Tamandua tetradactyla: one gene and its partner. Each later gene encodes a partner of the first gene's protein in a complex. Links are inferred from orthologs where the notes say so. Each region holds a gene or a part of one and is shown on either strand. Other genes may lie near its edges.

Region 1 (8,011 bases):
CAGTGGAGCAGCTGTGCCACGTCAGGTCTTAGAGAGGGTGTAGTACATCTCCTGGAGATTTGGGACAGCCAGGGTGCCATCATATGGAGGGGTTGAGTGTGTGCCCCAGAGATGGCAGAGAGCCTAGGTGCAGCCCCAACGCATGGAGAGGGTGGAGCCGAGAAAAAGGTGATATCCCCAGTGGAGAGAGGTGGGCCACTGTGAAGGTCTTTGGAGAGGGTGGACCGACACTTTCTAAAGCCCCGAACATAAATATACTCTCAGACTTTGAAAATCTAATAGCGTTTGCCATGCAGGTTTTAAAAACTGCTTGGGTCCAGCGACCCCTATGTTCCTTCCAATTCCTCCCTATGGAAATGGGCTTATGTATCCTATGACTGTCCCTCTTTTGTAAATTGACAGCAAATAACTTGTTCTGAGTTTTATAGGTCCACAGCCAGCAGAGAAAATTTTGCCTTAAGACTGTTCATGTCTGTAGCTGATTTTGATGAGACTTTGTACTGGTTTTAACCTTGTACTGTATGTGTAATGTTACTGAAATGGTTTAAGGTTCTCTGATATTGTTATGGAATGAATCTATTTTATATATGGGGAAAACATGTCTTTTTTAGCATTCAGAGGGTAGAATGCGCTGGTTTGAAAAGATTTATGTACCCTAGAAAAGCCATGTTTTAATTCTAATCAATCTTGTGGGAGGCAACTGTTTCTTCTAATCCATATTCAGCACTACAGATCGGAAACCTGATTAGATTATCTCCACGGAGACGTGACTCAATCAATTGTGGGTTTTAAAGCATGATTAGATGGAGATGTATCCCCACCCATTCTATGAGGGTCTTGATTAGTTTGCTGAAATCCTTTAAAAGAGGAAACATTTTGTAGAGAGAGTCCCTTTTGAGAATGAGGAGAGAACCACAGAAAGGTACAGCAGAGCCAAGCAGAGCCACGAGGCTGAGAGTCCATGCTGCAAGAGACATTTGGAGATGAAGAAGGAAAATGCCCAGGGGGAGCTCCATGAAACAAACCAGGAGAGAAAGCTGAGAGACTTCACCTTTCTGCTAAGAGAGAAACCCTGAACTTCATTGGTCTTTCTTGAGTGAAGGTAACCTCTTATTGGTGCCTTAGTTTGGACATTTTTATAGACTTGCTTTAATTGGGACATTTCCTTGGTCTTAGAACTGTAAACTACCAACTTATTAAGTTTCCTTTTTTAAAAGCAAAAAAGCAAAACAAAAAAACCCAACAACAACACAATTTCTTAATTTCTTGACAATGCTATAGCATAAATCTAACTGATCTCCCAACCTCCATGTTCAGACGTTCACAGCTCATCCTCCAAATCAGACCCCAAATACTTTTTAATATAAACCGAAAATATCCTCAAAAAATAAAAGCTCCTTTTTGTCATAATCATATTCTCATACAAAGACATAGTTCTGTAGGGTTTAAAACACTGATAGTTCATACCATGGATACTCCTCTGCAGTTATCCACAGTTCTGCACAGTGACTGCAAATATATCACTCCTGGACTTACATGTCCCAAGGTTGGTAAACATGGAGACATGCCATCCTTATTTCCCTTCAAGAAGGGACTGCTGCTCACCTGTGGGGAATGGGGTAAGCTAGCAGGGAGGAACAGGGATTGCATGGAAAACAATGCAAACAAACAAACAAACAAAAATTCTGTTTTGAAGAAAATAGACGTGATGTTTATGGTAGAGAAACTGGGGAGGTATGGGGAAGAGAAAGAGATTACTTTAGGAGTGTTGGGTACTCAGAGATGACATATGAGTTGAGACTTGAAAGAAGTCAATAATAAAAGACAAAGTGCTCCAGATAATGACAATGTGTATAAGCTGAGGCTGGAACCAGCTTCAAGTGCTCATAATGTGCACTTTGTTTCCAACTTTAGTATCCAGCATTGTACTTGGCACTAAACTAAACTAATTCTGAAAAACTGTGATGCTTGGAAAAGTTTAAATCTGTACCACCAGAGCTATACATTTATATTCACATGGTACCTAGTTTGATGAGATGCAGGAGTTGCTCGGAGGGCGCGCACACAGACTGAGGCTTGATTTCATTGATGAGGCCATTAGCAATGCTGATGTAGCCGTCATAGAGCAGCTGGCTAATGATCAGCTTGTAGAGTTGCTGGCGGTCCTTCAGGCCCACCTTGGTTCTATACATCTTGGAGAAGAGGAAGATAATTCTTCCTGTCAGCTGCAAGAAGAGATAAGAGGTAGATGGTGAAGGGGAGAGGCACTAGTAAATCACAGACACAGTAAATCAGACTTGTGGAGCTAAAATCCTAGCTCTACTATCTGCATTACCTTTGGTTAGTGTCCTCATTTCTCCAAACTTCAGCTATTAAATAAGTTACTGAAGGTTAAACGAGAAGGTACACAGAGAACATTGCACACAGTACCTGGTACACAGAAGGTATTCAAGTCATGTTAGCTGAAATTTACAGCAGACTCTCTCTTCATCAACTTATTCTTCCCCTTTTCTTTTCGGCCAAAGTTACCCACCTAAAAATTTATTCTTTATGGCTATCCCAGAATCTTTTATTTCTTCTGTTAATAAAAACACTGACTGTTGTTGTCAACAGGTAAGACAGCTGCTATTCCCTTGAAATATCTAGGAACTACTATTTCTACCAGCTTAGCCACATGCTTAAATTCATTCCTAAAATCTGTTTCATGACAACTGGGCTTATTGCAATTATATAATTTAAACCAGAGTATCAGGGCAAAAAGCTATTATTTCCATGAAAATGAAAGCAAACTGAATGCTTTGAAATGACTCAAGTGAACTGCTTAATATACTATTGGCATATAAGATACAGACAAAACAACTAAAAAATGGAAAAATTGTAAAAATCTGGAAGGACTGCACACCCTGATTGATTCACAAGTGTCTAAGTTCTCCTTCAAGCTAAAAAGAAAAACAAACAATAGAGTTAACAGTGGTACCTACTGGTATTCCTGTACATTAACAGGAGTGACTGGGGAGAAGGGAGAAGGTAGGGGTATCAAGCACGTTTTCTAACTACATAGTCCCCTCTGGAGAACCACTGAAATTACTGATCCTAGTAACAGCCAGCATTTACAACATCTTTACCATGTTTTTCAAGTTTTACTTTATTTAATCCTCAAACCATCCTATAATGGAGGTCCTGTAATCTTGTTTACAGATGAAGGGGGAATATAATTTTGCCAAAGATCTCACTAATAGTGTCTGGAGGAACCAGGACTAGGATGTAGGTGGTTTGACTCTAGAGTCTGTGTTGCTTCTAACTACTAGGTTGTAGTGTGCCCTAAAAACTTAATAATAAAGGCTAATAGTCACTAGACATTTAACACAGTATATAAAACACACTGTGGAAGCAACTTATGTGCATTAACTCATTCACACCTCATCCAGTATTATTTTAGAAATAAGCAAACTGAGGCCCAGAGTGGTTAATTAATTCACTCAGGATTAAATAGCTGTGAATGTCAGAGACTAGATTCCAACCCAGGCAATGTGGTCCCTGAGCCTGAGTTCTTACGCACCATATTACACTGACGAGTGTTTATGTAACATTTATGGAGCACTTCCTACGTGCCAGACACTGTGCTAAGCACTTTACAGTGAAGCTCATTGGACGGAATCAATAAATGCATGCAAATCTACGCATGTAGGAGCAAATGCTCTTAAGTCTATCTGCCGAGAACAGTGGGACACAATAGAGATGATGAAACGGGCTCAGAGAAATTAGGAAACCTACTCAAGGTAAAGTGTGCCTGGGTAACTCATCTGAGGTTACGTGGTCGTCAGGACGGTCCACTCCAAAGTCCAGAACTTAACCACCACTCCAACCTGTCTCTTCACTTCTGTCTGGGGCATCGTGAGATGTACAGGGACAATGAGAAAGTAAAAGAGAGGGCGAGACTCCGCTTCTCAACTCCTTTAGAATGTTCACTCGCCAGGCTGTAGGAGCCTCTTAATCACCACCCCTAATTTGCAGGGGAGAACACTGAGGCCCGAGGACAGGAATAACCCTACTCAGGACCGGTTACACAGGAAAGGGAGATCAGGACGCCCCTTCTGCACACGGCGCAACCATCCCAACGCAGAAGTTTATAAGGATGGGGTGGCGTGGGGCTGGGAGGTAGGCCCTCCAAAGGGGTGCGCAGGCCCAGCCCGGCAGCCCAGGAGCACTGACTCAGGGCGCACGCCTCCCCGCTCACTCTCGACCATTCCCACCTCGACCCAGTCCTTCCCGTGGGCCTCTGCAGACCCCAGCGGACAGAACCCGCTCCTGCCGGCGCATCCCGGGCTCCCTTACCCGCTGATCCGGCTCTCGCGGTCTCCCGCTCTCTCCCAGAAAAATGGAGGCGCGAATCTTGCCCGATCGATCGCTCGAAGCGCAAGTTCACTGCGCACGCGCAAAGGGCATAAAGCCGAGTACCGCGCTATCCATCGCTCCCACCCCCTCTCCGGCCCTCCTCGCCATCTGACTTACTGGCACGTTCAAGAGGTTCGGTTACCTGCTCCGACTTTATCTCCTGTACGACAGCCCCGATGCTAGAGGCTGCTCTCTTACGGGCAAATTTCCGATCCGGAGAGCACCACTGGCGATAGAACGTTCACGGGTTTGGTGGGTCGTTGGGGCCCCCTCTTCCGGGGCCCTTCGAGGCAAGTGCGCCTGCGCTTCGTCTCTACCTTCTCCTATGACTCAAGACAGCGAGTTCGTTGTTGACCAATCAAAAGGCAGCCTTCCTTCTAGCCTAGGCCAATCAGCGTCCGGAGTAGAGGGTTTAACTTGCATTTAAAAAGAAGAACCTTTGACTCTTAACGGCTGAGCTCTCTGTAGGACTCGGCTCCGTGGGTTCGAGACGGTGTCCGACGTGTGCGTGGACCAGTGGGGTCAGGTTTATGTGGCGGGTGTGAGGCCTGGGTGAGGGGCGGCTGATCCGGGCGGCCTACGAGCGGGTAGTGGGATCTGGCTGGAGCAGAGCCGAGCGGGCGATGGGGCTGCGGGGCGGGAGAGAAAGAATCAGCGCGAGAGGTCCTCCCTCCCTGCCGACTACGTGCCTCTGCGGCCTCATCTGTGCTCCATCTACTCGTGGGTTCCGAGGGGCTCTGTGAAGGTTGCTTATGGTTAACGCTAGAGGCAGATGGGGTTGTTGGGTGGCATTGGGGAAGGCTTTCTGCATGGATTCTCATATTCAGTGGGCACCTAGGTAAGGAAACCTCAGAGAAACTTCCGCTGTCTAGGAGTTTACTTTGGAGGAACGGGGAGAGAGACAGCAAACTAAACATGATTTCCAATTGTGACGAGTATTATGCAGGATGTAAAACAGTAGTATGGTTTAAAGGGGGCTACGTTAGATAGAATAGTCCGGGAAGGCGCTTTCCTGGCTGGATAAATGAATGGATGGATGAATGAATGAATGAATGAATGAATGGATGAATGAATGATAACCTCTACGCAGAGGCCTTCCGGAGCCCGTGCTTATCAAATCCTGGCCCTTGGACTCACCCATATCAGGATTACTTGGGGGTCCTTGTTAAAAACACAGACCCACGGCAGGTGGAATGAATCAGACTATTTTGGCGATAAAACCCAGGTGTCTACGTTTAACAAGGTCTCCAAGTGGTTCTGATATTTACTTCCAACACCTACCAGCCATCTGGGGATGTTGCTAAATGCAGAGTTTGTTAGGTCTGCGTTGAACCTGAGATCCTCAATTTCTAACAAACGTTCAGTCTTGACTTTTAATCATGTCTCCTCCTCAGGGTTCCTTGTTCCTTGAACTAAATGTTTTCAGAAGACACTCAGTTCCTCTCCACTCAGCCTCTTGGCAGATATTTGCAGGTTTCCTGTGGTGGGGGGAGGAGGGACAACTTTTTTATCCTAAACTCACAGGGCTATTAAATCTAACAGTTTTTCTGTTTAGAATTGCAGGATCTCTGTTTAATGGATTTTGAAAAGGCCATTTAGTTATGCAGTTTCCAAATCGCTGTAGATCAGAATCGCCTCAGGGGCTTTTTCCTGGGGACCCTCCCTGGATTTTCCGAATCAAAATCTTATTCCATTCTGTTTATTGTTCATCTTCCTGAGACAGAAACTATAAATAAATTCAATATGAAAAGAAAAAATTGGGATAAACATTGATAGCTTTGGTCAGAAGACTGTTGAATAAATATTATGAGGCTTATGTGCTCTCACAGTATTCTGCTACTAGGAATTGTTGGGAAAGTGAAAGTAATAGAGCAAGTTTAGAAAATAATGGTGCATAAAGTAGGCATGTATTTCCTCTTCTGTTTTTAGTTTATTTTTATCAACCAACTAAGGACTCTAGGTTCTTTAGTCCTGGCTCTGTCTTATGGAGTTATTTGCTTATTTTTGAAATGGATGTAGAAGCATTGAGGGTGGGGAAATCCTTTCTGATTAGATTTTAGTAGTCACAGAGCACCTGGGTAAGAAGAATACTGGTAGATTTCTGCTGTCTTGGTGTTTGTTTTACCTACTTGATAGTGTGGTGCCTGACTCATAGTATGGGCTTACAAAGTGTTTTAATAAACTATTTTTATTATTGATTTGCTTTAATTTATTCCCAGAACATTCATTGCCTACACTATGTGCTGTTCTAGGTTTCTTGGGCACAGTGGTGAGTAAAATGTGACTAAGCAAGCCCTCGCTCTTGTGGAATTTACTTTCTAGTGAGGGACACAGACAGTATATAAATATGCATATACTTTGTGTATGATGCTAAGGGCTATGAAGAAAAATAAGATAGAGATGGTTCTGGAAGGGGACATTTGAACAGAGAATAGCATGAAATGAAGGCGCAAGTGATGCATTTGGGGTAAGATCCTGATGGAGGAAAGAGCAAGTACAAAGGCCCTGTGGCAGGGGACCTTTTTGAGAAAAGATATACTGTGTGTCTGGTGTGCAGTGGACAGGAAGGAGGAGTGTGAGACTAGGTCAGAGAGATGGTCAAGGTTCACATTTTGTGGGACTTCATTGGTCTGTCCTTACCAGTTGGAACCTGTATTTCATTGAGTTGGGAAGCCATGAAAGTTTTGTGAATGAAGGATTGACATCTGACTTAACAGGATCACTGGCTGCAGTGTTGAGAATGGGTAATAGTGGGGCAGAATGAGAGGAGGAAAATCATTGGGAGCCAGTTGCAAATAGTCCAGGGAGGGAGGACTGTGGTCTTACCAGGTGGTGGTGGTAGAGGTCATATTCTGAGGGGATATCTGAGAACAAGAATGGGGAGGTGGAGATGGGAAGGATCGTGAGTTCACCTTGGGACATGTTAACATCGACCCCTTAGATAATCAGATGGAGATGCGAAAGTGGTAGGATATTTATATCTGGACTGGAGATGGAAATTTGGGAATTTTCCACCTATGGATATTATGCACAGCCAATAGACCAGATGAGCTCTCCTGGAGAGTGAGTATAGGAAAAGAGAAATGGTTTGGGAAAGAGACCAGCACACTCCCATGAGTAGAGAGTGGATAAAGAAGTTTGGAGGAGAGAAGAGGTTCCATTTTTGATGTATTAAGATTTTGATGCCTTTCATACCTTTCTGTGGGGTCCAGAGCAGGTGGTTGGATCTTTTGAGTCTGGTGGTCAGAGGAGAGATTAGGCCAGAAGAGGTTAATTCGAGGTATCCTGATAAAGATGTTCAGAGCAATGGCATTGGGTGAGGGTCCCTAGGAAATGGTTGTAGATGGAGAAGTGGGGGTGGGGATCCAAAGACTCATTCCTATATTATCTCAGGCATTTTCAGAGTGGAAAAGAGGGTGAGAGTGGACAGCTAGTGAGGTAGGAGACAAATCTGGAAGGTAAGTGAAGAAAGATGTTCAGGAAGAAATGATCAACCTTATCAAATGCTGCCTAGAACGCAACATAAAATGAGGGTGGAGAATTGACTGTTTGGCTTGGTAACAATAGGGGTCAGTCATGAACTCAGCGACTTGGTGGGGATAAAGCCAGGTGGGAG
Region 2 (6,968 bases), on another chromosome or scaffold:
TGCCTCCCCCACATCCCTCCTGCCCAGCCCCCAGGACTCTGTGCCTCCCCCACACACCCCCAGCCTGGCCCCCTGTGCCCCAGAGCCCCGTACCCACCCCCATCCCCCTGCCCGGCCCCCACCCCTGCGGCTTTACCGGATGTCGAAGGCCCTCACGTGGGGGTGGGCGCTGGCCACGCGGATTGTGAGGAACTGCACGGGCAGGTTGGAGTCTGGTGAGAGCTCATGCTGCCGCGACCCGGTCACGGTCAGGTGCACGTCCTGCTGCTGGGCCACATGGACCCGGTAGGTAGTCACCTTCATCACCCAGGTGTCCGTCACGACAACCCGGGCGCCCGGGGCCCCAGTGGCAAACTTGTCGATGCGCCGGAATTCGGTGTTGACGGAGGCAGCGACATCCCGCCAGCCCGAGTGCGGGAGAGCGTACAGCGCCAGGGTGCAGGCCAGCGGGTGCCGGGCCCAGCGGTTGCGGGCCCAGTGGCAGATCACAGCGCAGGCCGCAGCAGGCAAGGTCAGCGCCAGCAGGAGGAAGAGTCTCCAGGCCTCTGGGGCCCGGCCAGGGGCGTACAGCCACTCCTCTGAAGCAGCAAAGCACATGCCCACATAGTAGCCTAAAGGACGAGGCGGGCATCAGCGGGTACAGGGCTGGCCAGGCCATGCCCACCTTCCTACGGGGTCCCTGTGCCCAGCCCTGGTCAGCTCCCAGGGCAAGGCTGAGGGCAGTGGGCCTCTCTGCCTCTCACCTCTGTGGCCAGGCCTAGCTCAGCCTTTGCTCACAGCAGCGGCACGATAAGTTAGAAAAAAATGCTTTTAATTTACTTCAGTTTTACATAAACAATATCCAAGCACAAGAGAAAAAAGAGAAATCCAGAAAAGCAAAAACAAATGTGATGGCCTGGCTTCGTCTTCCACCCAAATACGATGGCTGGCATGGGCCCAGCTAGGATGAGCTCCAGAAAACTGCTGGGAGCCTCAGCGACTCTCCCCAGGGAAAGAGCTCTCTGGGGACCACACCCCTGAGCCCCAAAGAAGCAGGCTGAGGGCCCAGGCACTGTGAGCTCCCCAGGATCTGGCAGGTGGGGCTCAGGCCGAGGGAGTGTAGCTCCAGTTTGCACGGTCTCCCAGCTGCCTCCTGCTTTGTGTCTCTCTCCTGGTCTGGCTGAGGATGGGGGAGGTCACACACCCCACAGGGACTCAGGGGCAGAAAGGGGTGGGAGGCAGCAAGCCTGGGGCTTCCTTTCTACCAGGCACCCACACACCCCTGCTGCTGCCTCCAGACCCAGGAGCCCTCTCGGCCCAGCCTCGTTCTCCCAAGTCCCCCACTCCTGCCTCGACCTCCCACCAGACCTGGTTCTGCTCATGTCCTTGGACCCTGCACGTCTCGGGAGGCCCCCTGCCTGGCACCCCAGCACAGTCCCCTGGCCCTCTGGCCCATCCTTTCCCCGGCTGGTGCAGCAGCCTTGTGGAGGCCCAGGCTGCCTTGGGTCCCTGCCAAGCACCACCCGTCCCCTCAGCTGACAACGCTGGCGTTTCCGGTCTGGGACCAGGAATCTCTCAACCCCCATCTCTGCCTGCTCTCCCTGTACCCATCTTCCAAGGCCAAGAACAACTCCACCTTCTCGAGGGAACCCTCCAACCCAACTCTTCCGATGGACTCAGCTAGTACTATGGGTTCCCAGAAGCCCTTCACCTGGAACTGCCCCCACATACAAACAGCAGATGCCCACGGCCACATGGGACCCCCAGCAGCAGCGGCAGTTCACGGTCTGTCCCAGGCAGGGCCAAAGCACCCTCTCCCCACAGCAATGCTGGGGCTTCTGCCACTTGCAAGCTGTGCAGCTCTTCAGCTGCTCCCGGCCAGACAGATGCCTTTCTCCGGCCCTCGGAGCAGGGCCCTGCAGGGCAGACCCCACTTGCTCCCCCTGCCGCAAGGACTGAGGCCAGTGAGTCTGGCTTCTTAGGGGGCACGGCCACCTCTCCCAGCACAGGGTCCACCGTGGGGGGATGACCTGGGGCACTCCACCCAGCACAACGCTGTCCTGTCCGGGATTGCCGCACAACCAACTCCTCCTCAGTGAGGACCAAGCCCTGGCCAAGAAGACGAGCGGACGCAGCGACACGACTTGAGGCCTTCCTCCCCCACCCTATGCGTGCAAGCCTTCACCGGCAGCCAGGAGAGCCGCAGGACCCGAGGCTCCGAGTCCCCAGGCCTCACGCCTTCCTCTGCACCCGCCCCACGCTGCCCTCCCAACTCCAACGCCCAAGAGGGAGACAGCCACCCTGGTGAAGCCACGTTAGGGCCTTGGGTACCCGCCCCCCAACGTGTCCCCAGGATGTGCTCAACGTACAGGTCTACAGCCCAGGACTGGTACAGGCAGGCTGAGCCCCCAACCTGCGCCCTCCCCACACCGGCCAGGCTGACCTGACCCTAAGCAGGACACCAAGGACCTGTGCAGGGAGAGTAGGGCTGACCCCAAGACTCAGAGCCTATCGACAGAATTGGCCAAACACTGCTCAGCCAGTCCAGGGCAGTGTGCCTGGAACCCTGGGGGGTTGTGCGGTTACAGCCCCAACCCAGGCCAAGCACCCTGCCACCAAGAGGGCCCACTGGTGAGCAGCACCTCAACTTGGAAGGGCCGTAGTGGCCCGAGGTGCCTGTTGGACCATGGCCGGGACTAGAGCCTGCTAGTGACTCTCCATCTCAGGGCATTCCCAGCGACTGGTGGCACAGCAGCCAGGCAGGCCCGGGAGTCGGTGGGGTTGGGATCTGGGGGCTTCGGTAGGCACAAAGTGTCTTGGCCGTAAAGGGGGTCTCCACGGGAATGGGGTCTGGAGGGGTGGGATGCGGTCTGGGGCAGAAACAGGAACCTCAATAGGATGGGTCTCAGGCAGAGATGGGGTGTATCAGATAGAAACAGGGTCTTCAGCGAGGACTGGGTGTCTCTGAGAGGATCTCACTGGGGAGAGGGATCTGGGTGGGGAAGCGGTTCTAGGTGGAGACAGATAGGGACCTCAAGCGGGGACCTCAAGCAGGGACCTGTGTGGGGCGGGGATGGAGGGGGTGTCTCTCGGGTGGGGATGCTCTCGGGGGGTCCCGGGTCTGCGTGGGCCCCCGGCCCGCCTCACCGAGCGGCAGCAGTGAGTGGCACAGCAGCGTGGCGGCCGTGCGGCGCAGGTGGTAGGACACGAAGGCGGCGTCCTCGCTGCCCAGCCAGCCCGACAGCAGGTTCTGCACGGTGAGCCCGGCCGAGTGGAACTCGTTGGGCGTGAACACGAAGCACACGGCGAAGACCAGGTAGGCCAGGGTGAAGGTGACCTCGGGGCTGTCCATCGTGCCGCCGCCGGGAAGCCGCTCGAGAGAGGCTCGCCGGTCCCACCTCCGGCCCCGGCGCGGGGAAGAGGCGCGAGCGTCCCGGCCCCGGCCCGGAGCGCTGGACGAGGCCGCCGCTGGCCGGTCGCGGGGCGCTCTGGGAAATGGAGTTCCGATCCCGCCGGCCGCGGGGCACTCTGGGAGGCGGAGTCCCGGCCGCGGGGCGCTCTGGGAGGCGGAGTCCCGGCCGCGGGGCGCTCTGGGAGGCCGAGTCCCGGCCGCGGGGCGCTCTGGGAAGCGGAGTCCCCGAGCCCGGCCCAAAGGCGCAGGCCGCCCGCACGTTCTCCGCGAGGATGCAGCCCCTCCCCGCGACCTGCCGTGGAAGAGGCGCTACAACTGGCCCCATTTCACAGCTGAGAAAACTGAAGACCGAGCAAACGGCTCCCAGATCGCCCCCGTCCGCTGCGCATGCGAGTCTCCGCCCCATCCGGCCCAGGATCGAAGCGCCCCCTCGCCCGGAAGTGGAACGCGTGCGCGAGGGGCGGGGCCGGCGCGGCGCGGCCTTCCATTGGCTACTGACTGCCCCCGGCGCGCTCTGACTGGCTGCGCGGAGTCAACCGTCGGTATTTGAATCGGCGGGCGCGGCGGACTTAGCGGCCTGAGTGGGTTTCCGGCGGCGGCGCGGCTCCTCCCTGTACTCCCCTCTCTTCTCCCGGCCGCGACGGGGCGGGTCCGGAGCTCGGCGGACAGGTAGGCGGCCGCCGCCCCTCGGCTCGACCCAGTCTACGCCCTCCCAGGCCCCGGGCCTCTGCCGGGTCGGCCCCGCCGCCTGCGACCTCGGGGGAGTCAGGCTGGCTGAGGCGACCTGGGGGTGGGCGAGCGCGGACTGGGCAGCGGCGGCTCCCACAGCCCTGCCCCTCCCCAGGCGCGGCCCCCCCGGCACCTGGACCCTCCCCTCCGGTCCCCACCCGCCCCCCCCCGGCCCGCGGCCGCACTCGGCTGGCGGAAGCAGGGGTGGGAGGGACCTGCCGGGGCTGGGGAGCGTCCCCCGCTGCTCCCTCGAGGACCCCACCTGCTCTCCGCCCGCGGCGGGCCCCGCGCGGCCACCCGCGAGCAGCCTTCGTCCCTCCAGCTCCTGCCCGCTTCTCTGGCCCCCTCTGCGGCAGCGCTTCCCCAGTCGCTGCTGCCAGCACTGCCTCTCCAGCTCCTGCTCGCTCTCTGGCCCGCTCCAATCAGGCTTTTGCCACCGCGTCTCAGAGACACTTCCTCACCTTGTCTCCAGCGGACCGCGTGCTGGCGCATCCCACCCGGGTCTCGGTCCTTGTCCTGCCAAGCCCACCGGCTTGTTCCTCTCCGGAACGCTCTTTTCACCGGTGCCCCGCTCCTCTGGGTCTCCTTTGCACCTCTCCCTTCCCCACCTCCACGCAGTCGGCCCCCGGGTGCAGCCACAGGCCTCGCCTCGCTCCAGCTTTATCCCCAGTGGTGGCCACCACCCGGACCCAGTCCCTGGCTGGCACAGGACCCCGCAGTAACTACTTCTCTGGACTAGCACAGCTTCTAACTGCAGGTTCCAGATGCCCCTGTGGCTCCCCAGACACCCTCCCTACACCCCCACAGTTCAGCTCCCCCGCACCCATTAACCCAGGCTAGACTCGGAGAATCATCTGTGACTTTTCCCTGCCCTCATGTGTCCACGTAGACCCACTGACCAAGCCCAGGCCCAGCCTTGTCTCCTGGACACCTTGACTGCTTCTGGTTGCCTGTGTTCCCTCTTCCCCCTCACAGCCCCTCTGCTATGTAACAGAAGGGTCTTCTGAAGCCCAGCAGTGATATTGCCCGACCCCATGCCCCCTCATGTCCCACGTGGTGGACCCCACTCTCCTCCAACCACGCTTCCAGGCTACTCCTTGCCCCTCTGCTCAGCCACCCTGGCCTTCTTGTTCTTCAGAATGCAGCCCATCCTGCATTCTGGACTGGTGGCTGCCTCATCGGACCTTTCTCTGGTTCCACTCTTCTCCACCACCACACTCAACTCTAGCAACACCTACCTTAGGAACGCCCTCAGGGCCTGGGAGCAGCAAAGGCCCATTGTGGAACTTGCTGAACCTGACTTGAGGCCCCTTAGCAAGGCTCCTTAGCAATTTACCAGATCCTTCTGGACAGCCTCCTGGGCTTCAGGCCCCTCTGCTGACCCTCGCCTGCCCTCCCCCCTTTCCAGCCAGGGGCAGGGGAGCACGAACTATGGCTCACTGTTCAGCATTTCTCTTCTCTGCTGACTTGACACCTGGGCTCTGTCCCCTAAGCTGAGACACAAAACCCCCACACCCCACACAGCCTAGGCTGCACCCTGTTTCTTGACCACCTGAGTCAGGCTCTGGGGAGACTAAGGCAGCCTCAGCTGTGAATATTCTCCCAGGCCAGTACTTGGTCTTCTAACTTATTACCTAACAAAACAGCCCAGGATCACAGGTGATTCCACAAGCTCAGTCTTCCTCTTCTCTCCGGTTGAAGGCCCTCTGGGCTCTCGGTCTCGTGGGAGTCAAGGCCTCCTGAGACCAGACGGGGACCCTCCAGCGCTCCTGCCCAGCTCACCAAGGACATGCTGTGGGAGGCTGGGTTGGGCAGGCAGCCACGCCTGGCCCAGAAAGGGGACAACCTGTATCACACCCCTGTCTGGATGTGCTGCACCAGTCTTGTTGCCCCCGTGCTGACAGAGGCGTGGTCTGCTTTTCCAGAATGAGTCTGCAGATCTTAAATGATGAAAACGTCACTTGTGACAAAGCCACCGAAATTTGTGACTTCCTCTTTTCACCCCCGGAACTAACCGGAAAGTCGTCTGTCCTTCGTCTGTCACAGAAAGAAAATGTGCCACCCAAGAGCATAGCCAGAGCTATGAAGGCAAGTCAGTCCATCCCCACGGAGTGTGGCCTGTGCCCCCAGGCTGGCATGCTGCTACCACCGAGTCCTGCTGATGGCCGAGAATCATTTAACAGGCATGTGTTCCTTCTCGCTCCCCTGTAGGTAACTTTTCAAACGCCTCTGCGGGATCCACAGACACACAGGATTTTAAGTCCTAGTATGACCAGTAAACTAGAAGCTCCTTTTACTCTGGACGAGACTGTTGGATTGGCAAACTCTCACCGTGACTGGACACAAAGAGATGAGTAAGTGTTGGCCTGTTGTGTGCTGTGGCTCTAACACCATCGACGGGCCTTTGCAGGTGTTTATACGGTGCCCGGGTATGGGGCTTCCGAAGCCCTCTACTTGTGGGAAAGTTAACGGTCAGGTGTTTGGATTGAGTTCAGATTCCATTCTTTCCTCCTGCGATGTGTCTTTGCCAGGTGCTGGGCCTCTGCTCTCATTTCTCCAACTCCTTACGCAGTCCTGAGCCTCTCCCCAGGGAAGCTGTGTTTCTCCTCATCTCCTGTCTCTGCTTGTGACTCAATTCTTGCATGGTCTACACTGAGACATTATTCTTAAAAGGGGCGGGGCTGTGCTTTATATGATCTGTTGGGCGAAGTAAGAGTGAGCTAGGGGTTGGAGTTGAGTCCTGAGGGGTTGAGTTTATTTTAATCAGAGGAAGCTTCTTTGTAGCCCGGCCCGGGGTCACGTTCTTAGGCTTAGCAGTGGCCACTGCCTGGTGGCTGACCATGAAGTG

The links. Proteins that work in one complex are often made in the same cells at the same time.
Region 2: the proteins of AURKA (region 1) and TACC3 are in contact, whole or in part, in a crystal structure (PDB 5ODT), measured with the Homo sapiens proteins. The link is inferred for Tamandua tetradactyla from reciprocal best matches to the Homo sapiens genes AURKA and TACC3. Residues at the interface, in NP_001310232.1 of Homo sapiens: Leu130, Phe133, Glu134, Ile135, Gly136, Arg137, Tyr148, Leu149, Ala150, Arg151, Ile158, Val163, Arg205, Tyr207; in NP_001428248.1 of Homo sapiens: Glu523, Ser524, Phe525, Arg526, Pro528, Val531, Leu532, Gly533.

The regions. Positions count from the first base shown.
Region 1 is NC_135327.1:28,991,293-28,999,303, forward strand, and holds the start of AURKA (aurora kinase A), read left to right. Parts: upstream 1-4,927; 5' UTR 4,928-5,018; coding exon 5,019-5,115; intron 5,116-5,121; exon of another isoform or gene 5,122-5,233; intron 5,234-8,011. Other genes in the region: CSTF1 (cleavage stimulation factor subunit 1), read right to left, coding at 2,024-2,192. UniProt on the Homo sapiens protein: Mitotic serine/threonine kinase that contributes to the regulation of cell cycle progression.
Region 2 is NC_135345.1:1,405,196-1,412,163, forward strand, and holds the start of TACC3 (transforming acidic coiled-coil-containing protein 3), read left to right. Parts: upstream 1-3,899; 5' UTR 3,900-4,060; intron 4,061-6,045; 5' UTR 6,046-6,046; coding exon 6,047-6,208; intron 6,209-6,331; coding exon 6,332-6,474; intron 6,475-6,968. Other genes in the region: TMEM129 (E3 ubiquitin-protein ligase TM129), read right to left, coding at 137-611, 3,127-3,331. UniProt on the Homo sapiens protein: Plays a role in the microtubule-dependent coupling of the nucleus and the centrosome. Involved in the processes that regulate centrosome-mediated interkinetic nuclear migration (INM) of neural progenitors.